Mus musculus: one gene and its partners. The protein of the gene in region 7 interacts with the protein of the main gene of each other region in a biochemical or structural test. Links are inferred from orthologs where the notes say so. Each region holds a gene or a part of one and is shown on either strand. Other genes may lie near its edges. The genes, in order: Ubr7, Rnf14, Trim32, Rnf167, Ipo11, Ubr5 and Ube2e1.

Region 1 (4,270 bases), on a different chromosome or scaffold from region 7:
TCCAGCCCTCACATTTCTTATTTTAGAAATTCTTATAATTCAACCATACAGAAAAATTAATCATTTTAATTTGGGGAGAGATGTATGGGGAAGCATCTAGAAGTATAATTATGCCCACTACTTACTGTCAAGTAATGAAGTATAAAAAAGGGCAAGTGTGTTCAACAGAGACAAATGTTTTAAAATGTTGAAGGAAAAATAGCAAAACTTAGAAGTGTTGGTAAGGGGATTCTCAGCACACAGGGCCGTGGTAGAGGGGACAGAGCACAGGTCCATACTGGTGCAGCAAATGCTTTACTGAGCCTGCCAGTGAACTACCACACACACTTCTATTCTATTTCAATCTGCTCCTAGTTTACTAAAGAATTTGCCGGGCCAGCGAGATAGCTCCGTGGGTAAAGTCACTGGCTCTGTAAGCCCGGAAACCTTCGGTCCACCTCCAGAACCTATACAGAGGTGGTGAGGACAACCGCTTCCATAAGGCTGTTCCCTGATGCCTGTCTGCATATGCTATGTGGTACATGTGCCCACACACATCAGTAAGCAAGCTTGTTAAAATCAACCTGGAGTTAGAGAGAGATGGCCCAGAGCTTAAACGCACATACTGCTCTCTCAGAGAACTAGCATTGAGTCCCTAGTACCGTGTTGGCAGCGCACAACCCCCTGCAACTCCAGTTCCAGGGGGATCAGATTCTTCTGCCCTCAAGAGCATCTGTGCGCACATGCACATAGCCACACAAATACTTGAAAATCTAACAAAACAAAAGACTGCCAGGTGGTAGTGGTGGTACACACTTTTAATCCCAGCATTTGAGAGGCAGAGGGAGGCATATTTCTAAGTTCCAGGACAGCCAGTGCTACATAGAGAAACTCCGTCTCAAAAAAACTAAAAGAAAATAATTATTATTATTGATATACTTATATAGAGATATGACTATTTAAAAACAAAAACTTAGGACCAGGCCTTTAATCCTAGCACTTGGGAGGGAGGTGGATCCTTGTGAGTTCAAGGTTAGCCTGGCCTACATAGTGAGTTTCAGACCAATTAGAACCACTCAATCTGACTGTCTCAAAAAACAAAAACAAAATTCACCAGAAACAAGACTTTAAGCCAAGCATGGTGGTACACACTTGTAATACCAGCAGCACTTGGGAAGTGAAGATAGTCAAAAATTCAAGGCAGATCTGAGGGACATAAGATCCTACCCCCAATTTTAGTTAGTATTGTATAAAAATAAGTATATTAATAAAGAGCTTACATACAGACTTAGGATCTTTCTTTCTTTCTTCCAATGAAGGGGTGGGTGTGTGGTTTAATGGTCACAATGAAAAAGAGAAATAAAAAGGAAAGGACATGCCTGTTCCTTGGGAGGTTGAAGGAAAAAGTTTACTATAAAAGGAAGAGCTCGGAGGCAAGGACTTTTAGGAGAGTCCAGAGGCTAAAGATTCTGAACTGGGCCCTGGGAGAAGAGCAAGGAAGGGTAGGGGATAGGGATGGGGAGCCAGGTGCTACAGCCAGGAGACCCAAGAGAGCTGCATAAACAAAACGGCTGCATTATTTAGGGAAGGGAAGCTGGGGGAAGGGTAGCCCGGCTCCTGGGCTGGAGAAGTCTGGGAAAGTGGATTGGGTATGTCTGCCAGGAGAGTCCCGGAAGGGACAGAAGGGCAGGGAGAACCAGGAGGCCACCATCGGCTTTGATATGTTAAATAGGCACAACAGCAGAGTCCAGGGTTTGAAACCTAACAATGATCCTCCAAATTTAAATACCAGCGACCATGCTGTGACTACTTCTGGGATACAAGATTTATTCAACAATTTTACAGTGCAAACCCAACTTGGTCAACGAAGACAACTAGTATTATGACTTCAGTCCACGCCACACCATAACTCCAAGTCCCTTCACTCCTACCCCAGTCTCCCACTCCACCCATGGGCATAGTTAGCCTGTTTCCTTCCACCAATTCTCATCCTTGTTGTTAAGTTTCCTTCCTACCCACCCTTTTCCACGTTAGTACTTAAATGTACAGTATGCGTCACTAAACACTACATCTCAGCCCCTCAAACTCTCTCGTTCAAAAGGTCCCACAAATGCCAAACAGATCCTTTTCTCCTCTTGGCTTTCCAGTCCCCAGAGAGAGGGGATGTCACATAGCACATACACACGAAACTTCATTTAACCAGAAAGGGGGTGAGGTGGGGGCAGCTAGCAGTTAAACTAGACTACAGGAGTGTCCGGAAGCCGAACCTCACCGGAAGATTTTCAAAGCCGGCCCACTTTCCCTTTACTTTTCCCCATCTGGTCCCTAATTAAGATTCTTGGGCGGTGGGAGAAGTGGAGCGAAGAATATCTGGGTTTGAGAGATCACGAGAACAACCTCGTGAAAAGCAGGCCACCAAGAGGCGACAACTGGAGGACCGGAGCCTGCAGTGTACCATCAGCGGAACCGAGGGACAGCCCTGGTGGCGACAAGCTGAGGATGAAATGGCAGCCGGGCCGGGGCTGTAGAAGCACAGAGTAAAGGGCCGCCGTGAGTGGGCCCGGCCGCGGCCAGCGGGAAACAGACAGGACGGCGGGAGCAGCCGGGCCGCGCGCACCTGCGAGTAGGAGCACTTCTCCGAGTCGCTGCCGCCCAGGACGGCGCACGCCTCATTCTCCAACTCCTCGTCTTCCTCGAGCACGTCCACCAGCGACACCACGGGCTCCAGCTCCGCCTGGCACTCGGTGGGGCTCTCGGCTCCGGCCATCCTCAACTGTCACCGGGCTCCGCTGCGTGGGCCCAGGAGGAGGCGGGAAAAGTGGCCGCCGCCAGGGGCGTCGCGAGAAGGCGGGGCCCCGTGAGGAGGCGGAGCCCGAGCACCAGACAGCCAATCCTAAGGAAGGACACGGAAGAAAATGGGCGGGCCAATTTCGGGAAATCGGAAGTCATTCCTCCTCCTCCTCGCCTCTCCCGCCCGCCCCGGCCGCAGGCTGGCTTCCGCTTCCGGGTGGCGTTTCTCCGAGGCGCGCTGTTGAAGCTGAGTGGTCGCCATGGAGCTTTCGGGCGAGTACGTCGGTTGTGACGGGGAGCCGCAGCGGCTACGAGTGTCCTGTGAGGCGTCGGGAGACGCGGACCCTCTCCAGAGCCTGTCGGCGGGCGTGGTCCGGATGAAGGAGTTGGTAGCGGAGTTCTTCGGGACCCTAGTGGAGCAGGACGCGCAAGGCTTGGCGGAAGATCCGGACGACGCTTTGGATGGTGAGCGCGGGGGCGGGGCGCCGGGGGACACTGGCGGGACCGGGCAGTGTGAAGGGCAGGCTAGAGAAGGCGAGCCCCGGAGAAGAGGAGCAATCGCTTCTAAAAATCCTTAGAACTCGCTGCCCTCTTTGTCTGATATCCCACCGCCCCCCGTTTTTGCGACTTTTCCCACCAAAAAAAAAAAAAAAAACCGTGGCGAGCGTTGGACTAGGGACTGGTCAACGGACGAAGTCAGCTTGACTCCCTTGCAAAGAACGCAAAGGATTAAGATAGGCAGAGAAAGTGGCGGTCTGTAACCATTGCTAGCTGGCACGAAGACCCGAAAGGGCGGGAAGGTAGACCTGGTTGTTGAAAAACGGAAAGGAGTGAAATTAGAAACGAGAAAACGTGTTTGACAGAATGAGGAGAGCTTCGAATGACCGAGGCCCACTTTGTTTTAGGGAATCTTAACCCTCTCAGTTTTGTAGCTATTGTTTCGAAAGTAAAAGAGTTCTTTTTAGTTTAGCTTTTTGGTATTCTTAAATTAATTGATCGTTTCATTCATGTATTAATGCATTCAGGTCATGGTCTCTATCCCCCGCTGAACCCTTCTCGACAGGGCTCCTCGCCTTTCTTTCCGGCCTTTTTTTGTCACTGGATTTATTTAAGGATATTTGTATGATATTTACTGGAACTAGGGCAACACAGCAGTGACTAGACCACTGAAGAAAAACAATGACTCCCCCGCCCCCCATTAACCGCCAACCGCTCCTCTGAGAGGGGTGGCGCCTCATGAGCCCCCCCCTTCCTTGATGGAATGTTTACGTTGCCATCTTGTGCTGCCAGAGTTTAAGGGCTATATAATGTCCGAAAGCACTACAGCCCTTCCCGTCCTCTTACTTTCTCTCACCCCCTCTCCTGTTGTAGAAATTAACTGTTAATTTTGGTGGCTTGGGGTTTGTTTGCTTTTAAAGATGGATGTTTACCTGCATGCTTGTCTGTACACCTCTTATGTGCAGTGCCTTCGGAGGCCAGAAGAGGGCATCAAATCCCCTGG
Region 2 (3,500 bases), on a different chromosome or scaffold from region 7:
CAGGGCACTGAAGCCTGATGACCTGAGGTTGGTCCCTAAAACCCACGGGTTGAAGGAGAGAACTTACTCCTGCCAGCTGTCCTCTGACCCTCACATCAGGCCATGCACGTGCGTGTTTGTACCCACACAGAACTACATACAAACAAGGATGTTTTAAAAGGCAAACCTGGGCAGGCTTAGCAAGGGCGTACCAAGTTAGGAGAAGACTCAGAACTCTGGCTCGTGGTAGTGCATCTGCCCGGGATTCCATTCCCACTGTTACCAGAAAGGAAAAAAAGCAGAGCATTTTGGAGACTTGTGCTTTTGAAATTTGTCATCTATGCTGGGTGTTACCTTGTCGGGTGTTGTACGAAGCGTGACTGTTTTCTCCCACCTGGTAGGTCACCCCCGCGCTCCATTGTTCCCTGTGCTCCGCAGAAGCTGTGAACTTTGACAAAAGCTTTCCTCTGTGTTGAGTTGATTTTTGTAACTGGTGTATGTGTTGGGGGTATGCTTTTAGTTTGGCTGTTTTGAGTGTGAATATCCAGTTTTTCCAGCGCCATGTGTTGAAGACATTATCCTTTCTTGGATGTTTTTGCTTTGTTGTTTCTTGTGGACTAGATAAACAAGCACTCTACGGTTGAGCTGTGTTCCCAGTTTTGAATGATTCTTTTGTTGTTGTTTATTTATTTACTTTTTTTTGGTTTCAGCCCATTTACTGTTCATATGTGCCTCACACATTTCTGTTAGATAGATTTATTATAGGAAGTACAGTTAATCCAAAAGAGGAACAGGAGGGTGTGGGGGAAGAGAACACAGGTAACTGCCACATGTTCCTACCCAGATACAAGTGCAGTGAGAGCTTGCAGGCTAGGATGCTTCTGTGCCGTGTTCCCTTTCTAATCACACTCCAGACCACCTCCAAGGAAGGGTAGGCTCCTTAAGAGAAACAGTCCCCTTAGAACCAGGTTCCTTCTGACATATGAGCTGCAGAGTGATTCTAAAAGCTTAAACAGCAACCTGGCTCTGTGTCCTGTGGCAGCCTCTTGTCTTCATGCTACTTCTAGATTCTGATTTTGATTTACTCTGGCTCCTGTTCCTGGATAGTTGAACAATTTGGTGAGAATGTTGGTACTGTTTTGTAAGTAAGAAAGAAATTTCAGGAAGTTATGCTAAAATAAGCTTCAGCAGGTCAGGAGCTGGTCTATCATCATCTTTTCAAATTCAGCATCCTCATGTGCTCTCTCCCAGCTCTCTGCTCTCTGCAAGCACCTAGACAACCTGTGGGAAGAACACCGAGGCAGAGTGGTGCTGTTTGCCTGGATGCAGTTTCTTAAGGAGGAGACCCTCACCTACCTGAATATTGTCTCTCCTTTTGAGCTCAAGATGGGGTCTCAGAAAAAAGTTCAGAGAAGGGCAACAGCCCAGGCCTCTTCCAGCACAGAGCTTGGTGTGGGAGGAGCTGCTGCGGCGGATGTAGACCAAGAAGAAACTGTGGATGAGAGAGCTGTACAGGATGTAGAGTCATTGTCAAGTCTGATCCAGGAGATCTTGGACTTCAATCAAGCTCGGCAGACGAAGTGCTTCAATAGTAAACTGTTCTTGTGCAGCATCTGTTTCTGTGAGAAGCTGGGTAGTGATTGCATGTACTTCTTGGAGTGCAAGCATGTATACTGCAAAGCCTGTCTGAAGGATTACTTTGAAATCCAGATCAAAGATGGTCAAGTTAAATGCCTCAACTGTCCAGAGCCACAGTGCCCTTCAGTGGCGACTCCTGGTCAGGTACTGTCCTCTTGTCCATGTCATGTGCCCTCCAGGTTCTTTTCACAAAGGGAATCATCTCAGAAATGTTTCTTTTGTTTCCTTTCTGTATATCCCAGACTGGACTAAACTCATGATCCTCCTGCCTCCACTTCCCAAATGCTGACATTAAAGGTGGTTGCCACCACACTTTCCACGGGAATTTTACTTAATATATTATTTAGCAGTGTTGAGGATCAACCCTAGGCCTCATATATGCTAGACAAGCCCTTTTCCACTAAGTCACACCCCAACCGTCACAAACTTTCGTGATGGTACTCATGGGATGGACCGAGTCCTTAGATGCAGTCCACGGGTGTTTCATTGTGTCTATTAAGAGTGCTATAAGATGGGTGTGGACACCCAACCACCTATAATCCCAGTACTCCAGAGGTAGAGGCCAGAGTCAATATCATCCTTGACTGCTTAGTAAGCTCAAGGCTAATTTGGGCTTCATGAGATTCATCTCAAAAAATTAAGATGGCTCAGCAGGTAAAGGCACTTGCCACCAAACCTGATGACCTGAGTTCAACCTAGGAGAGAACCAACTCTCTCAGGTCATCTTTTAACCCACACCCCCACATAAATAAATAAATAAATAAATAAATAAGATTTCTGTTTTCTCTCTCCTCTCTCGACAGGGTTTCTCTGTGTAGTCCTCCCTGGCTGTCCTAGAACTAGCTCTGTGGATCAGGCTGGCCTCGAACTCAGATCCACCTACTGAGTGCTGGAACTAAAAGTGTGCTATGCCCAGCCTTAGTTTTAACCAATATGTAGATCCATATAATCACAACCTCAGTCAGAGAAAGGCATAGGAGACTGAGTCAGGTGGATTTCAGAAAATTCAAAGCTAGTCTGACTACATAGGAAAACCCATCTCAACCATGCCTCCCTCTGCCCCCCACCCAAAAAAAAGGGTATAAACTATTGCAAAACCCGCTTTGCTTCTGGAATGAGAATAGGGTGTGACTTTTGTACCTATCTATTTTATATCAGCAGCCTCAGAGTCTTCATAGGATCAGAGCCAGTTGGGAAATCTTCAGATCTATGGTGTTTTATATTCCCTCTCAGGTCAAAGAGCTGGTAGAAGCAGACTTGTTTGCTCGCTATGACCGTCTCCTCCTGCAGTCTACCTTGGATCTAATGGCAGATGTGGTGTATTGTCCCCGTCCATGCTGCCAGCTCCCTGTGATGCAAGAGCCTGGTGGTACCATGGCTATCTGCTCCAGCTGCAATTTTGCCTTCTGTACCTTATGCAGACTGACCTATCACGGGCTTTCTCCATGTAAGGTAACTGCAGGTATGTTGTAACTGAACCCAACTCTCATCCAGTAGCCTTTGTTTTCCCTTGTGAAGGCCCGTAACTTCCGTCCATACATTTAGAGCTCTCACACCTGTAGAGTTTGCATTCCTCTCAAAGGCAGAAAGCTACTAGAAGCAGAGGTGCATGCCGCTTATGACCAACTTTTGCTCCAGTGTACCGTGGGTCTGATGGCAGATGTGGTGTGTTGACACATCCTGCTGAGAGCTGGTTGGCTCTCATTCAGGGTTGCTTTGTCAGTTACTGTCTTGGCTCTAGGGGAAAGGGATGGACAGAAGAGACCAAATCCTTTCGTGGAACTGCCAGACTAGTGGGGCTGACAGACAACACAGTAAGTAGTGGTAAGTGCTGAGGAGGAGAAAGAACACTAGAGCTGGTTAGGAATGGCTCTGAGGGGAGG
Region 3 (4,217 bases), on a different chromosome or scaffold from region 7:
GGCTTGCCAGCATGTGACTTCTGATTTATATGCCCAAATTAGCCACTTGCTCTGTAACCCAGGATATGTCATTTAACAAGTGGCTCTTCACTTTCTGCCTTGTAGAATCAGGAGTAACATTTAGATTGTGGGCCTTATGGAGAGAATGCACATTAATCAGCACTCAGCCGAGCTCGCTGTGTTTTCAGACAGAGGCTGGCAAGTGCTTGACCACCAAGCAAGCAGTAAAACAGCCGATTCCACGGCCAACTCAACCTCCGTCAGGTGTTTTCCTAAGCGATCTGAGTTGATGTCATCGCAGCTAAGTGTTCTGCCCTCAGCTCCAGTCTAATTTTGTTCTCTAAACTGCCTTCTGTAGCGTAGCTAGGATTGGAGTTGATAAAGACAATGCTGCCCTTCTGTGCCAGAGACAAGATGCACAAAGGAGAACATTCAGAGCAGTTTCCTTCCGTCTAGCACTGCCCTTGAGCCTGAGCCCTCCTTATCTCAGCCGTGTAGCTCCAAGCTCCTTGCACTATCTCCCCATTGGCTCTGGTCTAAGAGCAAAGCAAGAACAAAGTCCAGGGCTTCTCTTAATCAAGAGAAGTCACCCAGCTTCTGACTACGGGGCAAGCCTCCCTTTCCTTAGGAGAGGCTGCAAAGGGAAGACCAAGCCGACCGCAGCAAACCAGCAATGGAAGAGAGGATGTGGCGGGGAGCTACATGGCAGGAATGTGGCTTTAGACAAGTGACCTCCTAAGCCTTAGTTTCGTGGGTAACACTGAACAGTGAATGTATATTTAGAAGGAATATCATGAGAAGAAAGCACACATATTTTCAAAAGTAGTAAATTCTGAGCACTTTTACTGGGCACCAAACAGTAAGCACCCTGATTTAGTACACTGAGTCCTCACAGCCATTCTATGACGTAGGTCCCTGAAGAGCTTGTGCACTGAGAGGTCAATTGACTCTTTAAAGGTTACAAAGCAGAAAGAGAAAAATAAATAAATAAATAAATAAACAAATAAATAAATAAATAATGCCAGGATCTAACCAGAGCATTCTTGACTCTGATGCCAGGACCCATTTTGGCATGACTGCCATTTCTAGCTAAATGATAGTTTATTGTAGGGGTTGTTCACTAGAAACCAGTATCCCCCCCCCCAAGTATCCCCCCCCCCACACACACACAACCCCTCAACTATGACAACTGACAATGCCTCCATCCAGACACGGTCAAATGTTTCCTGGCAGAACAAAAGCACCCTGTCTGAGAACCCTGGCTTTAGGTAATGGCACAGGCTAAATACTCAGTAGACAGGAGGCTCCGCCTTGTTCCAACCTTGTTTTGTTTCTCACCCAGAACCATTGTCTCTGTGAGCTATAATGGACCTCCTATAAGATAATATTAGGTTGAAGATCATTTTGGCTCATACCTTGGACAGGGAAAAGGCTAGGTAGCAGAAGCCCTTAGGTAGTTCACTGCTTCTTCCCCAAGGCCTATAATATCGGGTCTGTGATGAGGAGGTGGGGGTGGTCAGAGTGGGTATAGTCAGAATACATGCCTGCCTCAGGATTAAAGGGCCTTTAGTTAGTAAGTGAGGAAGAATCTGCCCTTCAAAGAATGTCAAACTCTCCTTCAGGATTTCTGAAGACTGGTGTCTTTATTCCCAAACCCTTACATTCTCCTAAATTCCATTCATTTATACATAGTTTATTTATAAATTACTTTCAGGTCCCTGGGTCTCCAGAAGACCCTCTGGGTTCAGTTATGCCAAGACCAAAACAAAAACAAAAACAAACAAAAACCTCCTAAGAACCTACTCACAAATTTCATTTGGTTTTGAATTCTATAATCTAGTTACAGCATTCACTCCCCACCATTCATTCTCCACAAACCTCATTCTCAACGCTAAATCCCAAATCTATCATTCAACCTTTTAGACTGTATGCTGCAGCCTTGCAATTCACCAATAGCTCTTATGTGTCCCTCATCCCTCCAATACATCCTTTAATCTATTTTCAAATTCCCACATCTATCACCCCTGTATGCCATCTCCAAACTCCAATCCTGTACCTCAGATTTCTGCCCTCCTTCAATCTGATCGCTCATCTGCCCATCATCCCCATCTTGTACTGGGCCACCTCCAACCCCCGCCCCCCACCTCCGCCCCCGTCCTGCCTCACGTGTTGCCTTCAAACCTTTGCTGCGATTTTCTAACTGGGTACTGATTCCCTCGGGAACTCACCCCTCAGTCTTTCCCAGATTCCGCTACAGAAATCCCTTTCTCTTCAGCAATTAGGATCTTCCAAGACCTTGGCTGTTTTGATCTCAGATCTTGCTATCATTACACCGATCTCCTCAAAGCCCCTAAGATTCTGCCCGCCAACACCCAACCTCATCCAGGCCTGCCAAATTCCTTTATGCTTTCTGATATTCTGCACCCAGATACCTCCAGGGACGTCAGATCCTCCCATCTCCCACATGCTGCACCCCGTCTCTCCGCATGGCCCCCACATTACCTCATACCTCCCGACATGCTGCAACTGCAAATTTCCTCAGCCCCTTTGCTCCCCTCCCCCAGCTGCATCTCATCTCCGCCGAATCGCTCCTGAGCCCGTCCCTTCCGAATCCGATCCTGCCACTCCGATCCAGTCCCCAAATCCTGCCATTCAATCTTGGATCCCCGCGACCCACCACAGTCCCTGGTCGCAGACCCTCCTTCCCGCCCCCTACCTGACCGCCCGCAGCTCCGACGCGAGTCCACCGCTGCCAGCCCACCCGCCCGCTGCCTTCTGCGCATGCGCTAGCACGTCCTTCCCATGGCAGTCGCCAATTCGTACAGTCGCCTGCCCGTCAACTTGCCCCGCCTCCCGAGGCATGCTGGGGCTTGTAGGTCTGTGGGCTCAGCGCCCGCGGCCCAGCTGAATAGATAGGGATGGCTCCGGAAACCTAGGCCATTGCAGCTTTCTGCCCCGTTTCAGAGTCTAAACATGGTTAGTCAATGCTAATCCCCCAGTAGTAGTCTCCAGAAAGTTCGGGCACTTTGCAGACAGACGCCTCTTTGAAGAAGACAAGCACACTCCCTTCAAAGAGCTGCAGGTCCCCGGGCTAGGTGTTTCTGCCTGTGACACATCCCAAAGTGGAGTCACTGAACACATGCCCCTTAGGAAAGACGTTTTCTTTGCCAAACAGCGCAGAGGCGGATAGCAGAGGGAGAAACAGGGAAAAGCCTGCATTGAGCCTTGTCAGACGGGAGGTTTTGTGGCCAGGACCTCCTGGTCCTGAAGGTAGTTTGTGGACAGGTAATACCTGCTCCTGAATGCGATAAACACACAGTACTAGTGAGGAATATGAAGGAATCTGAAATATTATGCTCTCATATTTGAAATTCCACCTAGCTGTGTACCCTCTGCACAATGATAAGACAACAAAACAAAAACAGTAATACCTTTAGACACTTTCCGACAGACTACAGACTTTGAAAAGAAGCTGAGACCTAGGGGTTAAAAGGCAAAGTAACCAGTTTCTACCTGTCAGAACCTGGCTTTAATTTCCCAGAATCACTCTTAACTTCATTTTTCTACTTCTTTATCTCAAAATAAAGTTAAGGATTGTTTTGATGAGTTACTAATAACTCAGAAAGGTGGGAAAAGTAAATTTATCCCCTTCCCCCACCTCACTCCCGCCCCTGTCCCACACATCTTGTCCAAGGTTCGGTATACACCTGGCATCGATTTTGATGGAACTCTGAACCAGGCTATTCATTCTCCAACTTGTTTCTCTTCTCAGTGATTCAGGAGTTCTCACATGATTTTATCCCTGGCCGGATTTCCTGATTATACATTCTGAGTACAATTTGATATCTCAGATAATTCTAGAGCCCTGAGCCAACCCAGGCACCCAGAACTCCCAAGGCTTTCCCAGAGAATATGTGACTCAAAGTTCCTTGAAGAAATTATATCTGTGCTGGCAATTCTATGGACTGACCAAATACCTAGAACTGGGAAAGGATAAAACATATTGTAGACACATAGTCAATTTATCTTGGGCTAGCTTTAGTTCTCTTAATGGCCATTTATTAACAACCTATGACTCTGGCCTAACAATCTTCTGACTATAAGGTAAACCATTGGAATGTATAGTTAAAGTTAGAAGACTATGAGCTTCCACTAAGAATGTTATAACATCCGGAAAAGATAAAAGAACTTTCCCTATCTTGCTGTAGCCCATCTAC
Region 4 (4,072 bases), on a different chromosome or scaffold from region 7:
TCTCCTCAGCTACTTACCAATACTGTTCCCATGGCCAAAACCAGTAATCCTACAATCCCAGTGAAAGGAATGAGGTAATAGCCCAAGGGGAAGCTGTTGTCTGGAACCAGAAGCACCCGAGCCCTGAGGAGAGAGAGACACAACCTCAAGCCAGGTAAAATAGGGTTACTGGCTTGGGACAAGGCATAATGAGGAGAAAGTCAAGGCAGCCGAGGAAGAGCCTGAGCCTGAGTGGATTGAGAAGAACTGGAAGAAAGCATGCGTCCTACCCCTTCTCGTAGACAAAAAGGGCTCGTAGGTACTCTGCGCTTCTCTCTCCAATAAATACAGATGGGATCCAGATCTGCTGTTGGATTTCCTCTGTAAGGAGCAGGATATTAGGGATTTAGCCTTCTGTTCCTCAATTCCCTGAAACTGGCTTTTGGCACTTTTTGCAGATCTCAACCAATTGCCCTCCCACTCAACTCCACGGTGCACCCAGTAGTGCAGGCTTCTTCCTTACCGCTGTTCCACACCATGTTCAGCAGTTCATTGGAATTCACATTGTGCACCACAGCTGCACCATACCCAGCCTTCTGAGCATTTAGGACCTAAGGAGGCCAAGCGGGAGGGATAGAGCTGTAACCCTTGCCCTTCATTCCTGGTGTCATGTACCCTGCTTACCACCTCCCATTCCCCATTCAGCAACCTTGAGGTCAAAGTTGCAGTCGAATCTTCGAAGCAGTGCAATAAAGACTGACCCATTGACCGGGGCTGAGGGTGGTGGGGCAATAGGACCGCAGGCATTTTCTGGGTGGGCCTCCACAAGGAACCCCTGAGGGATAAAGGCAAACATTTTCATCTTTAGTTCTGTCTTCCACAGGACCTACCACACATAACACTATATACTACCTGCATTCTGCAGCTCTATCATTGCTCATTCTGGAGGTCTGAGCATCCCACCCAACACTGAATCTACAACTCAGACATGGTGATACATGCATTTAATCCCAGCACTTGAGACTACTGTGAGTTGGGGACAGCCAGAGTTCCAGAGTCCAGTCTCAAAAAAAAGAAAAAAGAAAAGGGATCTCTCAGCTTTCTTGAAGATGCAGTTACAGTAAACTACATCCCTTACCAGAGGCTCCCTTAACTTCTCAAGCGTAGTTTAGTTCTGCTTTTAAGTTTCCCACCGATAGTGGTTCACCTTGCTACTCATTCATGGCATTTTCAACAAGTTTCATTTTCCAATTAGCCATCTTACAACTCTACTGCTAACTGTGGCCGAATGAATTCTTGCTATGTGGCATGAACTTTGTAGTGAACTACTACAGACATGCTTATCACACTGGCACGATAGCCCTAGGTTAATTTCTATTTCTCATTTGACTCAGAACCCATAAAAAGCTGTCCATGGCCATCTATACAAACAGTAAGTTGCTCCAGAGACTGCTGATAAGCACCTGCTTTTTATCTTAGCCCACTCTCAGACTCCCTCTTAAACTTGGGAGTTCTAGGGGTTGTAGATGGTTCAGTGCTTAAGCGCACTGGCTGTTCTTCCAGAGAACCGGAGTTCAGTTCCTAGCATCCATGTAGCAGCTCACAACTGACTGTAACTCCAGTTCCAGGGGATCTGACACTCTCACACCTATGCATATAAAATAAAAAATGTTAAGTTCTAGAGGTGGGCACTATCTATTATCTCTGGATTCTGGACTCTGCGCGCTGGACATGATCATGCACTTAGGTTTTTCTGGATTGGGGACACTTTTTTTTTTTTGCTGGAGATTCAACCTAGAATCTCACTCATACTAGAAAAAGCACCCTATCATTGAACTATCCGCAGTCCACTGCATTCCGCTGCTAACTCCACTACTTCCTACCTCCTGAGCACGGCCACTTCGCCCCTACCCAGGATCCATATAGGGAAATGGGGAAAACATCACCTGCAGTCCCTCGTCGCTCAGAGTGGCCCCAAACAGAGCTGGAAGGTCTGCAAAGTCCATGCTGGCATTGTGCTCCGAAGTCTGCAGACGGAACACTACGTGTTTCAGTCTGAACCCCATTCTCAGCACCCTGTCCCCGTCCGACCCTCAGACTCACCGCTCGAATCAGCCCTCGGACAGGGGCTGCTCCCCACAGTACAGTAGCCACGACAACAGGAAGCGGGAAGGCCGCAGGGTGCATGGCAGCGGGAGGGGTAAAGCTGCGAAGGTCGCGTTCTGATCGCAGGAGCAGAAGCCGAGTCCTGCGCCCTCCTCTGCCTCTCCTTCAGGATCCCAGGGGTCCAACCACCCCTAGGTCCCACTTCTCAGCTACATGGGGGCGTCGGGGAAGGAACTCCGATTCAGGGAGTGAGCTATCAAACCAGCTTAGCGGAGCTGGTAGGGGAGACAATGTATCTTTCTCTAGTACAGAAATAGGACAGAATAGGAGCGAAGGCAAACAGGTAACAACAACAACAAAAAAACTTCCGGAAGGGTAGGAGAAACCTCAAAGAGGTGGGACTTCCGGCCAGGTAGACTGTCTTCCTATGCCCCTGGAAAAGGGTTTCCGGTAAGAAAGGCCAATTCCAGTATTGGACGCTCAGGACGGAGGACTTCCGGTCCCGAGAGGCCGGTTGAAAGAAATGTTTGACATGTAGAAGGAGCCTGCGGAGATGGAGGGAGCTTCGATGCTCAGGAGACGATCTAGTTTTTTTCCCTCAGTCCCTGAGATCCTGGAGCTGCCCTGTTTACAAACCTCTCCTTCGTCTGGCCGCCACGGTACGTTCAAAGTATCGCGAGAGTGCTTGCCACCACCCTCCCTCCACCCCCCCACCCCCTTTCGCCGCTGAAATATATCGCGAGAGGCCTCATAGCCCGAACTCGGCTGATTCACTTGCTCTCGCGAGGTTTTCAAACAAGCTTTTTTTTTTTTTTTTTCCCCGCGATTCCAATTCCGGAGGGGCGGGAATTTAGGGTAGCTTCCTAAATCGGCCACGCCCCTTCATCGTGCATCTTAGCCCCGCCTTATTCCCCGGCTGCCTTTGCGCTCCGAGCCTGCGCCCGCCCCAGCTTCCAGCTGGAGCCAGATTTGCCTGTCGGAGGGGCGTGCGCGCGCGCGCCCTCACCCTGTTGCGCGCTGGTGTCACCTTGGGCGCGAGCGGGGCTGTACGTGCACGGGACCCAAAGCCGAGGGCCATCAAGGGGCGATGGCGGCGACGGCGAGTCCTGGGGCTGGCCGGATGGACGGGAAACCCCGTACCTCCCCTAAGTCTGTCAAGTTCCTGTTTGGGGGCCTGGCTGGGTAAGCTCAGGCCCCAGTGATGGGGGAAAAGGAGGAAGGGACGGGAGCAAGCACCTGGGCCCAGTGTAACTTGGGGTGTGTTGCAGTAAATTGAGCCGGTGCAGGGTCCCTGATGGGTTGCCAGGATCTATTCATCCTTTGCAGGGACCCAACTGTGCTGCATTCAAGGATCTTTACCCTGTGTTTCCACCACCTTTGCTTCGTTGTGCCTGTTTGGGTGGTGGGTATAGGTCATTAAAGGCTTTGTTATAGGACTGCTTGGAGTCTTAGGATGGGGACGCCCTCTCCACCTTTCTTTAGATCGCCTGTAGTCCTAATTCTGCTTGAACCCTAAAGAACTGCCTGAGGCTTTTTGATTTGCATGCCCCTTACTGGGCAACTGGACTCTTTTGCTGGCACGTTGCCCTTGATGCACACACTTAACACACATGCCCACCAGCCTCCTGAATCCTTAGTGGCCCTGACCTTTGTAACTTCTTGCCAGGTTGCAGTAGAGCTGGAACCACTGACCTCTGATTCCCTTTCCTGCCTCACTTCAGGATGGGTGCTACAGTCTTTGTGCAGCCCCTGGACCTGGTGAAGAACCGGATGCAGTTGAGTGGTGAAGGGGCCAAGACTCGAGAGTACAAAACCAGTTTCCATGCCCTCACCAGCATCCTGAAGACAGAAGGCCTGAAGGGCATTTACACTGGGTACTGTGGCCTCAAGTTGGGGAGGGAAGTTGTTGGTTGGCAGGTCCAGACCTTGGCCTGATGTGCTGACATTTCTACTCTTCAGGCTGTCAGCTGGTCTACTGCGCCAGGCC
Region 5 (4,192 bases), on a different chromosome or scaffold from region 7:
CCTAGGCTCTACAAAGCTTGTAATGTAGGCTTACTTGGTAGTCAGGCTCATCTTTAGAAAATGAAACAAAAGGCACTCCAGAAGCACACCTGCAAGAGATGTGATCAGCCACTGTGTAAAGCACCCCGAAACTAGCTGACTAGACCCATCACATGCACAAAGAAAGGAAGGGGGCTGGGGGACTCTAATGCAGCTGTAAAGTGCAAATCCCTGGGTTCTACCTCCAACACCACGAAACCAAAACAAAAGTCAAAACTGAAGATGCACAAATAGTAAATATCTTAATGATAAAACATGTACAAGGCCCTGGGTTCAATCCCAACACTGCATAAATAAAATAAAGATAAAAATTTTTAAACTGGGGCTGGAGAGATGGCTCAGCAGTTAAGAGCACTGACTGCTCTTCCAGGGGTCCTGAGTTCAATTCCCAGCAACCACATGGTGGCTCACAACCATCCGTAATGGGATCCGATGCACTCTTCTGGTGTGTGTCTGAAGACAGCTAGAGTGTACTCATATAAATAAAAATAAATAACTCTTTTTTAAAAATTTAACTTACCAACAGTAATTCTAAATTAAGCCCAATGTGGCAACACACACCCAGCACTAAGGAAAAGAGGTATGCACTAAGGTATCTCTGAGTTAAGGCCAGCCTGGTCCACACAAACTAAAGCTACACAGTCAAAGTCTATCTCAGAGATAGTAATGATGATGATAATAAATCAGAACAAAGATTAAATATACACATATGCCCATGCAACACACACACAAACACAAACTAATCAGGACTGGAGAGATGGCCTGGCACAGGCTGCACATCCTAAGGACCCAAGTTTGATTCCCAGCAGGCACACAGGTCAGGTGGGGCACAACCTGTAATTCCATTACCAGAAGATCCAAGCCCCTCTTCTGCCTGTTTCAGGAACAGCACAGACAAGAGGACACAGGAAGATCTTTTAAGCCGGGCGTGGCAGCGCACGCCTTTGATCCCAGCACTCGGGAGGCAGAGGCAGGCGGATTTCTGAGTTCCAGGCCAGCCTGGTCTACAGAGTGAGTTCCAGGACAGCCAGGGCTATACAGAGAAACCCTCTCGAAAAACCAAAAAAAAACAAAAAACAAAAAAAACAAAGATTTAGCTTTTAAAAGATAAATCAAAAAAAAACAAAAAACAAAAACAAAAATAATTAAACATTACCTTTGCCTAAAAATGGATATCTGTATTCTTGAGAAACATCTTCAGTATATCTTATATCCAAATACTACAAGTACTATTCTGCCTTCTAGCTTGGTGCTGAATGTAAATACATTTCATAATATCACAAAATCTAAAGACTTGTTTAATTACCAAATAACTGTTGCACACTGCTTTGGAACCTCCATCCATATTACTACAACCAAATTCCTTTGAGAATTCTCTTTTGGCTTTAAGAAGTGTAATCAAGGCAAAAAAAAATGCCCTCCTGCCCTATAGCTATTACACATGTCCACAAAATAAATTAAAATGTTTATGCTAGACACCATCAGAACACCCAAAGAAGAAGAAAAAAGTCTGCAATCCTACCACCAGCAGGAAAAAAAAATTCTAATTCTACCAAAATTTTCCTCTGTGTGGAACAAAGATGTGGGGAAAGCTATCAAGCCATGTAGGTAATGATGTAAAGAAAGCTATCAAGCTCATATAATGAAGTCATTCTGCCCTTAACCAAAGAACAAAATTCTGAAATAATGTGGAAATGGAAGAGAAAAATCTCAGTCCACGAGAGGTTAAAATATATGGTTGCCAACTGCTCTTCCTTGCTTCCTTCTATACAACAAGCATATCTTAAAGGCATTATCGCATGTAACAGAGCTCCTGTAACGTGTGGAGAAGAGGTGTGCCAACTACAACCTTGGCACCAGAAGCCAGATTACCGGTCTTTGCTATGTACGCAAAAAAAAAAAAAAAAAAAAAAAAAAAAAATCACTCTGCTGTAAGATTCTCACGTTGACCACGCAATAAGAGAATTAAGGGGAAAAGAGCAAATGCTATGGGCCTCGAAATAATTTTGCTGAATCACAAATATTCCCAAATGTAAAGCTGCAGGAGTCGCTGAGCCTGTGCACTGGCGGCCATACCTCAGCATGAATCTCCTCTCGGAGAATTGATGTTGAAGTCCCTTCACTTTTTCCTTAAAGGTGAAGGAACGATCGGAATGCTTAAAGCTTTCCAAAGCACAGCTTCCACGGCAAGGTCGCGTGTGCAGCTAACTCCACACACCGGTCTTGGGAAGGGGAACACGTTTCCCTCGTGCTGTGCAGCCCAAAGCCTCCAAGGACAAATACAGCCCCCTGGCCGGCGACAGGGGACACAATAGGTACCCTCGCCTTTGCTCAGCCTGTCACTCAGACCCTGCCACGCCGCACCGTGGACCCAGCACCCAGAGGCTTCCCACAGCCCGGGAGCCCGTGCTCGCCCGGGCTACACCAGAGCCGCGAGGGCCCACGGCCACGCCGCACAGCTCCGCGGGACCCCGCGTTCCGCCCTCGGCGCGGGGTCTCTCGCTGCCCAGCCCACTCCTCCCTTCCTTCCTTCCATCCGCGCGGCTCGCGGCCGGGCCTCACCGCGTGCTTCGGTCCGGAACCGCCCGGCCCGCCCCTTTCCACTTGTCCACACGAAGCGGCGTTGGTTGCTTCCTCGTCCCCCACGCTCCTAGTCCACACGCTGCCGCCTACTGATGCCGAAAACGGCTTCTAGGAACGCGCCATGTTCCGCGTCGCCACTCCAAACGACGAGGGCGCGCTAAAATTACGTCACAGGTTCCCAGAGCGCCGAGAGGCCGAGGAGGGAGGCCATAGGACGGCGGAGGGAAGGGGAGGGAGGAACTCGAGTTCGAACCCGAAGGCGCGCGGCAGCCAATAGGGTTGTGTGCGCTTGCGTGGTACCCGGAGCAAGGCGCCGGCTTAGGGGCCCCTGTAACTATGGAAACCGTAGGTCCGGAGAAAATCGATAGTCTCCTGCGCTGATCGAAGCCTAAGTCAAAACCATTCATTGCATCTTCACTATTCTGTCAGCTACTTGGTTTAGGAGTCTGTCACGGCAGAAGAGGGTCATCAAAAGAATCCCATTGATGAACTCTGCCACCATAGGTATTTGGATGAGCATTGTTGGTTTTGGTTTTTTTTTTTTTTTTTGGGGGGTGGGGGTTAGAGTTCTGCTGGTTTTTGTTTTGTTTTTTGTTCTTGTTTTTTCGAGACAGGGTTTCTCTGTATAGCCCTGGCTGTCCTGGAACTCACTTTGTAGCCCAGGCTGACCTCGAACTCAGAAATCCGCCTGCCTCTGCCTCCCGAGTGCTGGGATTAAAGGTGTGTGCCACCACGCCCCGCTAGAGTTCTGCTGTTTAATCAGGGTCTCAGGACCCCAGGCTGGCATCGCTGAGGATGACCTTCAAATTCCGACGCCGCCACTTCTCAAGTGTTAGGGTTACATGCATATAGTCTCTGTTGGGAAGGTTTAGGAGTGCCCAGTCATTGAGTTAACCAAAGGCATTTCAAAAATAAGCTAATGTGTGTGTGGCTTTCATTCCAGAATCCAAAGAGTTCCTGGAGAGTGGGTGGAAGTGCGTGATCCTCTGGGAGCACAAAGTGGTGTAGCACAAACTCACAGCTACATGGTTGGTCTAAAATGTATCCACATTCCCGTTGATGCTAATGTTGCCAACCACCCAGAGGATGTGTCCAATGGTAGAGAGACAAGCGATAGTTAGTGTGGGAAGAAAGAATTAAGTAGTTATTAAAAAGAGAAATTTTGAAAAATAGAACTCTTTTATTGGAGTCATAGGTCTTTTGTAAATCTTAGGAAATGTTTAATTTTAAAAAATGAGCATACGCAGGCCGGGCATGGTGGCACATGCCTTTAATCCCAGCACTTGGGAGGCAGAGGCAGGCGAATTTCTGAGTTCAAGGCCAGCCTGGTCTATAGAGTGAGTTCCAGGACAGCCAGGACTACACAGAGAAACCCTGCCTCAAAAAAAAAAAAAAAAAAAAAAAAAAAACACACAACAACAACAACAAAAGCATACACAAAGTGTGTCTAGAATACTAGGACCCCAAATTAGGATGTATTCAGAAGTACTAATTTTGACTAGTATTGAATGGAAGATGCAGGTGCATATTGTTGACAAAACAAATATTTACAGCTAGATGAATAACCCTC
Region 6 (4,027 bases), on a different chromosome or scaffold from region 7:
GAGTCCTAAACAGGCACTGAAAAGACAGGTATCGTTAATTGTTTTTGAATATTTAAGTAACTAATTTAAATCCTAGTAGGGACTTTTAATTCCTTGTTATCTGACTGAATAAAACTCTCAGTCCACAAATGTAAGGGTATTGGTCCCAGACCACAGAGCATCTTTAAAAATAGATAGATAGATAGATAGATAGATAGATAGATAGATAGATAGATAGATAGATAGATAGATAGATAGATAGATGGATGGATGCCTGTCATGGAGTTGACTCAAAACTTCTGTGCTGACTAATCACACTTCTACTTGTAAAACGAAAAGGCCTGGCTGAGTGCCATTTAGGATTCTCTGCTAACTGTAAAATGTGGACTGATTTTCTTAACTTTCTTATAGTTCACATGTATATAAACTTAAAAAAAAAGTATGAATATAACCATGTCAGTGCATTGCCCCTAGCTTAAAAAATGTACAACTATATAAATAAAAACTGTTTCTTCAATGTTACTTGACATTTCTTCTGTAATTTATTTAAAAAAGTAAAATGTAACAAGATACTTAAAAAAAAAGGCTAGATACAAAAGTAGTTAAGCTGCTCAAGAACATTTAAAATTCTCCAAAATTTAAAATTTTCAGTATTCATGATCTTATAAAACATTTTACAGTTATCAGAAAGTGCCCAGGCTGAGTACACATAACCTTAGTACAGACATCTGGTTAGCACTCAAGTGCAGTGTGACCTATCCACCTGCACTGAAAGAGGGGTACAAAGAAAAAAGGTGACTGTGGCAAGGTACTGTGCGTCGGCCCATTTTATGTACAGAAAAGTGCCTCTCTCAAATGAACACATTACATGCAAACTATTAGTGTATTTAGTATCCTAGAGCTCAATGTAGCTGAAATAACCCACACTAAAAGTGAGGTTTTTATAGGTAAAAGTGGTTTTGTCTCTAAAATCCGAATGTCAAGAACTTTTTACAAGTTCCATATACATGATACACAATTGCAGCCAACCACAAATAACACCATAAAAAAGCTAAAATGAAAACACAGAACATACTTAATTTTTTATTTTGAAATTCCCTATTCCCTCTATACAAGAACCTTTGCTGAAACACTTTCCACAAAGGCAGCAGTGAATTTTCAGAACATTTTACATTTTTCCCCCTCAGCAAAAAAGATAAATCACAGTGTAAATTATGTTGTTCTGCTGTCATCTTTGGCTGGGGTTAGACCTAGAAGTTGGCGACTAGCAAACCATCATAGAGAAAAGGTGCCAGTGCTTCTCAGGCCTTTAAGCTACAAACTCAGCAAGGAATGTTTGCATTTAATCTCTTTAAGGTACCACCGGGGGTGGGGTGGGGTGGGGGTTATGACAGCATTAACTTCCATAAACTTTTATAGACAAATGGGAAAAAAAATCTACAAAATTAGCTAGTAATATTACACAGCAATACACACTTTTTATACTCTACACAAAACCAAAATTCTTGGTCTTAATGGCGAGTAGTAATTTTTGTTTGAGAATCTGTTTAGAGGAATAGAGTGGGACATAAAGTCGAGAAATACAAGTATTTGCAGTAGGAAGATGTTGGTCATCTGGTGGTCTTATTGTGATCGAGGGCATAGGCTGAAAACCTTCTTCACTGGCTGGCAATGATGGGCTAGATGTCCAGAAGTAAACCTAAACAAGGATATATAATTACAATGTTGGTTTTAATAGGTTAATAGTCACCTTGAATTCCAGCAACATAAACAACCCCACTGTGTAAAACCCAATTTAAAAACTAAAGCCTCACTAACACAACTGCCTAAATATAAGCTAAGGACAACAACAGGCATGTTAATATGGATGGGGAGAAAGCCCAGGAGGCTTCAACCATAAACACATTACTATCAACAATTAAGGAATTTGGGGAGCAGGAGAAATAGACTTTCCTAGAAAGCACTCTGTTGGTTATCGAATACCAAATGGTCAGCCTTTAAAACATACATCCATCCAAATAACATTATACAAACTGAGCAAGCTTTACTTATGTGTTTAGAAACATGAGCACACAGAGGCACACAGAGCAAGACGGAGACAGAGACACAGAGAAACAGACCCTGAATTTGAAAAAGAGCAAGGGAGGCTTTGGAGAGAGAAAGAGAAGAAATGATGTAATTATAATCTCAAAACAACTAACAAAATCTCCCTTAGTTTCAAAATTATTTTCTTATACTAAAAGACCAATATCAATTATAATGCAATAAACTACATTTAAGAAAAAATGTCAGGATTAAGGGAGAAAAAAGGGTGTCACATTATGGGTTTTTTGTTGTAACTGTCTTGAGGCCCGAGTTTTCTCATCTGAGACAGGAAGCTATTGTGTCAAGCTATCACTAAGAGCCTTTACTATAGCTAAGATCTCTGAGTAACTTACTGGGAAAAAAGAGAAATTCTTTTTTAACCAACAACCCCAGGCTAGTTAAAAAGCCATTTTATATTTTATCTACTAGCAAAGTAATAAGATGCTAATTATGATACACAGTAATTTTATAACAATAACTGAATATTGGGAAATATCTACAATGGACGAAATTTCATACAATGACATATGGAATGCTAGCAAAAATTTATTTTGGACAACACATAGTGCCAATGATACCCAGTAAGTGTCTAATGTTACTCTATTTATTACAAAATATTAAAAAAAATGCTTCTTTACGGAAATACGTACTTTATAAATATAAAATACTCTGAAAGATCTATCCTTCTATACATTCACATACCAATCTTCTAGGACAGAGTTTAATCTATGGTATTTACTTTGTACAACTAAGCACTGAAATAAATCTAATAACTTTACGGAGTAACTCAGAAACTTAAGTAATTGGGGTTATTTTCTAAGACATAATTGTGTAAGAAACATCATCTTAGAACAGTACAGAGGAAAAAGAAGGAACAAACCCTCCCCAAAAGAACCAGGAACATAGCCGGACTCATCCACTCAGTTAACAGGGAAGAAAAGGCTTACTGGAAACAGATTCCAGACTGAGATGGAGCTAGAGACTGGGTCAGCAGGGAATGGATGCTTCTCCAAAAGCTCTGGGTTTCATTCCCAGGACCCAAACAATGACTCAGAACTCGAACTCTAGGCCCAGGTGATCTGACACCCTCTTCTGGCCTCTGAAGACACCACACACATATGGTACACAGACAGACATGCAGATAAAATACATACAGGAGAAATGGAAGAGAGGAGGGAAGGAGTGGGATGAATGATCAACCAAAGTGGCAGACTTCACAGAACCTTTATCCGTAAACTGTTCTCCAAGAGAGACCCACCATCCCATCCCCGAAAACAAACACACACCCAAAAAACAAACAAAACCAAACAACAAAGCATAGCAGACCCCTTGCATTTCACTCTACAAGTTTTGTGAGACTTCTCACTCACCAGGTCCTGCCGTTCTGTCATGCTCATTTTCTCTACTATTGACCAGAACCACCGTTTGAACTGGAGGAGCTTCTCAGCATTTTCTCCTGAGAATATAAATTCAATGTGTTGTTTTAGATGTTGTTTCTTTTGAATACTAGTAAGCTTATATAAACAGAGATACATTGAACTTTAAAATTTAAGACATCTAATTCCTAACAAGAAACTAAAGCTTTTTGTGTAACTACAAACCTGTACAATTAATTGGGTCATCCTGACTCTGGATGAGTAAGAGAGAGTGACCTGTCACCACCAAGGTTGATGTCAGCCTCATCTGTAAACCCTCTTCTTCTGCTGTGACTTTAAGCCACAGTGCTCCTCAAACCACTGAGCTATAAGCCACATGAAACCTTTTAGAAGATGGAAGAAAAGGACACCAAAGAGTCTACATTTCTACTGGGGGGTGGTGGTGGCAAGGGCAGCGCACACCTTTAATCCCAGCACTTGGGAGGCAGAGGCAGGCGGATGTCTGAGTTCGAGGCAAGCCTGGTCTACAGAGTGAGTTCCAGGACAACCAACGCTACACAGAGAAACCCTGTCTCAAAAAAAACCAA
Region 7 (4,138 bases):
ACCATTACTCCTGGGCTTACCATTCTTGATGATGTTTCAAGCCTGCTAGGCCAGTACACTACTATCCAAGCTATCAAATAGTTTTACATGTTTTTGTTTGGCATTTTGTTCATGAGACAGACTCTCATGGAACTCACTTTGAACTCACAGGACATCTATCTGTCTGTTTCTGTTTCCAAGGGCTGAGCTGACAAAAGGCCTGTACTACTATGCCCAGAACTAAGTTTCTAAGTTCCTTAAGCATACACAAGCTGTGTCTATGGGAAAATCTATTTATTTGTACTATACTGACAAAAAGAAAACTACTTTGTATACCTGTCCATTTTCTCCTTATGTCTAGCACAACGTAAAAGCCCCAGTGACATCACAGCTAATGTCCTGCACTGGGGCAGGAGTGACATCACAGCTAATGTCCTGCACTGGGGCAGGAGTGACATCACAGCTAATGTCCTGCACTGGGGCAGGAGTGACATCACAGCTAATGTCCTGCACTGGGGCAGGAGTGACATCACAGCTAATGTCCTGCACTGGGGCAGGAGTGACATCACAGCTAATGTCCTGCACTGGGGCAGGACAGGTCAAAAGTAGAACAGAGAGCTCAAGGCCGGGGTTGATCAAGAAAGGCCATCCTGAGCAAGAAGGATAGAATCTAGGTTCTGGGAGATTCACAGGGGTTCATCAAAGACCCTGGAGAGACTGAGATATAATCAGACCACTGAAACTGATAACAGTTTTACCAAAGCATCAACCATCTCTCCAGACCTCAACAGCAACCATTTAAAATGACCTGAAGTTACTCTATCAGTCCAGTTAGCTCACTAAGACAGCATACCAAGTTTCTGAATTTCAGTTCAGGGAAAACAACAGAACAAACTGACAATCTTTGAGTTCCAGGCTCACTACTCAGCAGAGAGACCCGAAGCCATTTAGACCTTCCATTTCATTTAAAATTCTTTAAAGAATGCCATTCCCCAGCAGCCGAGTTTCTGTTCCTTACTATGGCCAACCATCTCAACAAAAAAAGGGGGTATGAAAGGAGAGGAGAGGCAGGCTCCCAGGTATCTACTAGAGATTATTTTAAGGAACACAGGATCAGAGAATGTGACTTAAGGTTGACAGAGGTAAATTATCCACCTGGTTTTTTTTACACAAGAGAGAGATTATCGCTGGGTGAACTAAGTGGCTCACTTCTGTAACAATCAAGAGGCTGAGATAGAAGTGCTAAGTTCAAGGCCAGCTTGGGCCAAAAGAGACCTTGTCTAGTAAAACAAGTCTTTCTGAAAAGTGTCAAACTGAAGTTTTTAAACAGAAAAGAAAAAAAAAATCCAAAAATAACTGAAATAATTTTACAGTTATTCACTGATTCTTTCATCTCCCTTAACTCTCCAAACAGGCAAAGGTTCTTCAAATTCTGCCAGAAAACATGACATTCTTTTAACCGCTAATGAGAGTTAGTTATTCCTTAAGCGATGTATGGAGAAAACCCTATTCAGAAAACACCACCCCTGCAACAGGTGAAGAGGAAGAAAGATGGTCAGAACTAGTTTTAACAGAGTTGCCCAGGAAGGTACTCTTAATAATGAAGTATGATGACAGCCTCCGGGAAGTCAGAGATTCGTGATTACTAGGATGAAGACTCTGAAATCACATTGGGAGTCACTCATAAAAGTAATGAGGATTCTTGAAACTTCAACAAGAAACGGACGAGGCCAACCACAACTCCTGCATATGGACGAGGGCACTAACAAAACCAGAAGCAGCGAGCAGTAGAGAAAACAGGTGGGACTCCCATGCCCCATTTTCCTGCCTGAGAACTCACGAGAACGTCGTTGAAGCCTCCCTCCCTGACATGCAGCACGAGGCCACTGGGAAGCTCGGATGCCTGTGGAGAAAGGAGTGGGATACCTCTTAGCGCTGGTGGAGAGAAGCTTCGAATTTTTGCTCATGCTGACTTTACTCTCCTTCTTCTTGGGGGTGCTGCCTTCTTTCTCGGTCTGCTGGTTGGAGGACGAAGATGACGAGGAGCTGGTGCTGGCCCTCGAATCGTCATCCGACATAGCGAACCCCCCACCCCACCCCGCGAACGGCCCCTGCAGGGGGAGGAAACAAAACAGAAACACAGACCATGCAGGCGCTGCAAAGAGGGAAGGAACTCCGCTGTCAGGAGGGCGCGGGCCGGGCCGCCCCCGCTGCCTGCAGAGGCTCGGGGCCCACCGCCGCACCGGCCGAAGAGACACGGGGGCCACGATCGCGCGGGGGCGGCCCGGGGAGGGCCGGGAGCCGCCGCCGCGGTCCCCCAGGCCTCCCGGCGTCCGCTCGAGTTTGGCGAGGTCGGGACGAGCCGAGCAGCGAGAGTGGGTGAGCAAGCCGAGCGTGGGCCGCGTGGGCCGCGGGGACACGGCTCCTGGCCAGGCCGGGCCACGCGGGGCTGCGCTCGCAGGCCGACGCGCACAATGCGCCCCGGGCGGGCGGGTCCCCGCGGGGACCGGGCCGCTCTGACAGTTCGCGCGGCCCCCGCCGCCCGGGCCCGCCACGCCATCCCGGTCGCCCGGCCCTGCTGCCCGCGGCCCGGCGGTGCCGCCCGTCCCCCGGCCCCGCGGCCCCAGGCCCCGCGGCCCGCCCGCCCTGAGGGGCCCCCGCACCTCTCTTTGTGTCTGGCTGCTCCGTGCCGCCGCCGCGGCTGCTGCTGCGGCTGCGACTGGGCCTGGCCACTCGTGTCTCGCTCTCACTGGGAGAGAAGCGGAAGTGCAGCAACAGCAACTATTAACCAGGCAATGGCTTCCCCGGCCGCACACGCTCCGCGCCACTCCTCCTCTCCGCCCCGCCCCGCGCCCCTCCCCCGCCGCACCTGGGGGCCGCGGCCCGGGAGCCCCGAGCGACCCCGGCTTGGCCTGGGGACGCCGCGCCGGGCGGAGCCGAGGCAACCGGGCGGGATTGGGGGCCACTGGGGCAGGTGGAGCCCGGGGTGACCAGGGGAAGTTCTTCCCAGGAGGGCTTTGGGAAAAGGCTGGGGAGTGAGGGGGCCGGTGTGGGGAAAAGATGGTACTCTCCTGGCGAGGACTTTGACTCCTCCCCAAAAGTGATTCGTTTGAAAAGAAAGAATGGAAGAAAAGAAGAGAAGAGAAGAGAAGAGAAGAGAAGAGAAGAGAAGAGAAGAGAAGAGAAGAGAAGAGAAGAGGAGAGAAAAGGAGAGAAAAGGAGAAAGGAAAGGAAAAGAGGAAAGGAGAAAGGAAAGGAAAAGAAAAGAGGAAAGGAGAAACGAAAGGAAAGGAAAGGAAAGGAAAGGAAAGGAAAGGGGGAAAAGGAAAGGAAAAAGGAAAGGGAAGGAAAAAGGAAAGGAAAGAGAAGGAAAAAGGAAAGGAAAGGAAAGGAAAGGAAAGGAAAGGAAAGGAAAGGAAAGGAAAGGAAAGGAAAAGACCCCTAACAGGTTTTTCCTTTGAGCTGATGACACTTGTTCCTCCCTCTGGCAATTACGTGCTTGGAGCAGAGGTCACGCCTGTGAGAAAAAACCCAGACTGGGATTCTGTTCAGGACACCAGGCATGTGCAATTTTATACTAGATACCACCCTCCTTCCCCTTTCACTTGTTATTGAAAAGGATGTGGACTTTTTTTTTTTTAATGTATGCAATTGGGGTTCGGGACAGGTAACTACGACCGGGCTTGGGATTATAAGATCACTGAAAATAAACCTTGAGCCAATGATTTTGACAGGACTTGCCCTGGCTGTCCTGGAACTCACTTTGTAGACCAGGCTCTCCTCGAACTCAGAAATCCGCCTGCCTCAGGATTTGGAATTCTTAAATTAGATATGTCTGAGTCTTAGTAATGGGGAAAAAAAGTTCTAGAAAGCACCCTACTTTCTTTTTACTCCAATATGATGCTATTCAAATAATATTTTTAGGATAATCACACAACAATGCCACTAAATTGTTCCTTGTGTGGCACTGTACCGAAATTTATTTTTTTTAATTCCACCATTAAATTAGGACTTAGTTTCTTACCAGTTTGCCGTTTACCCTGAAGGGAACAGACCCCTGCCATCCAAGTTCACAGAGATCTTGTGTACTGAGCAGACAACAGCACTCGAATTTCCATGGTCCACTTTAAATTACCTCATTCAAATTGACATTGCTTCC

Evidence for each region.
Region 1: the proteins of Ube2e1 (region 7) and Ubr7 form a complex in vitro, tested with the Homo sapiens proteins (2 studies listed by BioGRID). The link is inferred for Mus musculus from reciprocal best matches to the Homo sapiens genes UBE2E1 and UBR7.
Region 2: the proteins of Ube2e1 (region 7) and Rnf14 form a complex in vitro, tested with the Homo sapiens proteins (3 studies listed by BioGRID, with this or other methods). The link is inferred for Mus musculus from reciprocal best matches to the Homo sapiens genes UBE2E1 and RNF14.
Region 3: the proteins of Ube2e1 (region 7) and Trim32 form a complex in vitro, tested with the Homo sapiens proteins (2 studies listed by BioGRID). The link is inferred for Mus musculus from reciprocal best matches to the Homo sapiens genes UBE2E1 and TRIM32.
Region 4: the proteins of Ube2e1 (region 7) and Rnf167 form a complex in vitro, tested with the Homo sapiens proteins (3 studies listed by BioGRID). The link is inferred for Mus musculus from reciprocal best matches to the Homo sapiens genes UBE2E1 and RNF167.
Region 5: the proteins of Ube2e1 (region 7) and Ipo11 form a complex in vitro, tested with the Homo sapiens proteins (2 studies listed by BioGRID). The link is inferred for Mus musculus from reciprocal best matches to the Homo sapiens genes UBE2E1 and IPO11.
Region 6: the proteins of Ube2e1 (region 7) and Ubr5 form a complex in vitro, tested with the Homo sapiens proteins (2 studies listed by BioGRID). The link is inferred for Mus musculus from reciprocal best matches to the Homo sapiens genes UBE2E1 and UBR5.

The regions. Positions count from the first base shown.
Region 1 is NC_000078.6:102,756,505-102,760,774, reverse strand, and holds the start of Ubr7 (putative E3 ubiquitin-protein ligase UBR7), read right to left. Parts: upstream 2,801-4,270; 5' UTR 2,747-2,800; coding exon 2,597-2,746; intron 1-2,596. Other genes in the region: EKC/KEOPS complex subunit GON7, read left to right, coding at 3,030-3,234; Gm20604 (AK010878-Moap1 protein), read left to right, coding at 3,030-3,234. UniProt on the Homo sapiens protein: E3 ubiquitin-protein ligase which is a component of the N-end rule pathway. Recognizes and binds to proteins bearing specific N-terminal residues that are destabilizing according to the N-end rule, leading to their ubiquitination and subsequent degradation.
Region 2 is NC_000084.6:38,306,635-38,310,134, forward strand, and holds part of Rnf14 (E3 ubiquitin-protein ligase RNF14), read left to right. Parts: intron 1-1,230; coding exon 1,231-1,761; intron 1,762-2,850; coding exon 2,851-3,079; intron 3,080-3,500. UniProt on the Homo sapiens protein: E3 ubiquitin-protein ligase that plays a key role in the RNF14-RNF25 translation quality control pathway, a pathway that takes place when a ribosome has stalled during translation, and which promotes ubiquitination and degradation of translation factors on stalled ribosomes.
Region 3 is NC_000070.6:65,603,569-65,607,785, reverse strand, and holds the start of Trim32 (E3 ubiquitin-protein ligase TRIM32), read right to left. Parts: upstream 2,801-4,217; 5' UTR 2,717-2,800; exon of another isoform or gene 2,503-2,716; intron 2,471-2,502; exon of another isoform or gene 2,229-2,470; intron 1-2,228. UniProt on the Homo sapiens protein: E3 ubiquitin ligase that plays a role in various biological processes including neural stem cell differentiation, innate immunity, inflammatory resonse and autophagy.
Region 4 is NC_000077.6:70,645,963-70,650,034, reverse strand, and holds the start of Rnf167 (E3 ubiquitin-protein ligase RNF167 isoform 1 precursor), read right to left. Parts: upstream 2,801-4,072; 5' UTR 2,167-2,800; coding exon 2,083-2,166; intron 2,021-2,082; exon of another isoform or gene 2,007-2,020; coding exon 1,926-2,006; intron 1,628-1,925; exon of another isoform or gene 1,443-1,627; intron 815-1,442; coding exon 689-814; intron 591-688; coding exon 503-590; intron 361-502; coding exon 270-360; intron 124-269; coding exon 18-123; intron 1-17. Other genes in the region: Slc25a11 (mitochondrial 2-oxoglutarate/malate carrier protein), read left to right, coding at 3,173-3,267, 3,807-3,959, 4,045-4,072.
Region 5 is NC_000079.6:106,934,159-106,938,350, forward strand, and holds the start of Ipo11 (importin-11), read right to left. Parts: upstream 2,801-4,192; 5' UTR 2,602-2,800; intron 1-2,601. UniProt on the Homo sapiens protein: Functions in nuclear protein import as nuclear transport receptor. Serves as receptor for nuclear localization signals (NLS) in cargo substrates.
Region 6 is NC_000081.6:37,966,828-37,970,854, forward strand, and holds the end of Ubr5 (E3 ubiquitin-protein ligase UBR5), read right to left. Parts: intron 3,521-4,027; coding exon 3,435-3,520; intron 1,679-3,434; coding exon 1,466-1,678; 3' UTR 501-1,465; downstream 1-500. UniProt on the Homo sapiens protein: E3 ubiquitin-protein ligase involved in different protein quality control pathways in the cytoplasm and nucleus. Mainly acts as a ubiquitin chain elongator that extends pre-ubiquitinated substrates.
Region 7 is NC_000080.6:18,329,045-18,333,182, forward strand, and holds the start of Ube2e1 (ubiquitin-conjugating enzyme E2 E1), read right to left. Parts: upstream 2,801-4,138; 5' UTR 2,643-2,800; intron 2,091-2,642; 5' UTR 2,058-2,090; coding exon 1,906-2,057; intron 1,883-1,905; exon of another isoform or gene 1,852-1,882; coding exon of another isoform or gene 1,820-1,851; intron 1-1,819. UniProt on the Homo sapiens protein: Accepts ubiquitin from the E1 complex and catalyzes its covalent attachment to other proteins. Catalyzes the covalent attachment of ISG15 to other proteins. Mediates the selective degradation of short-lived and abnormal proteins.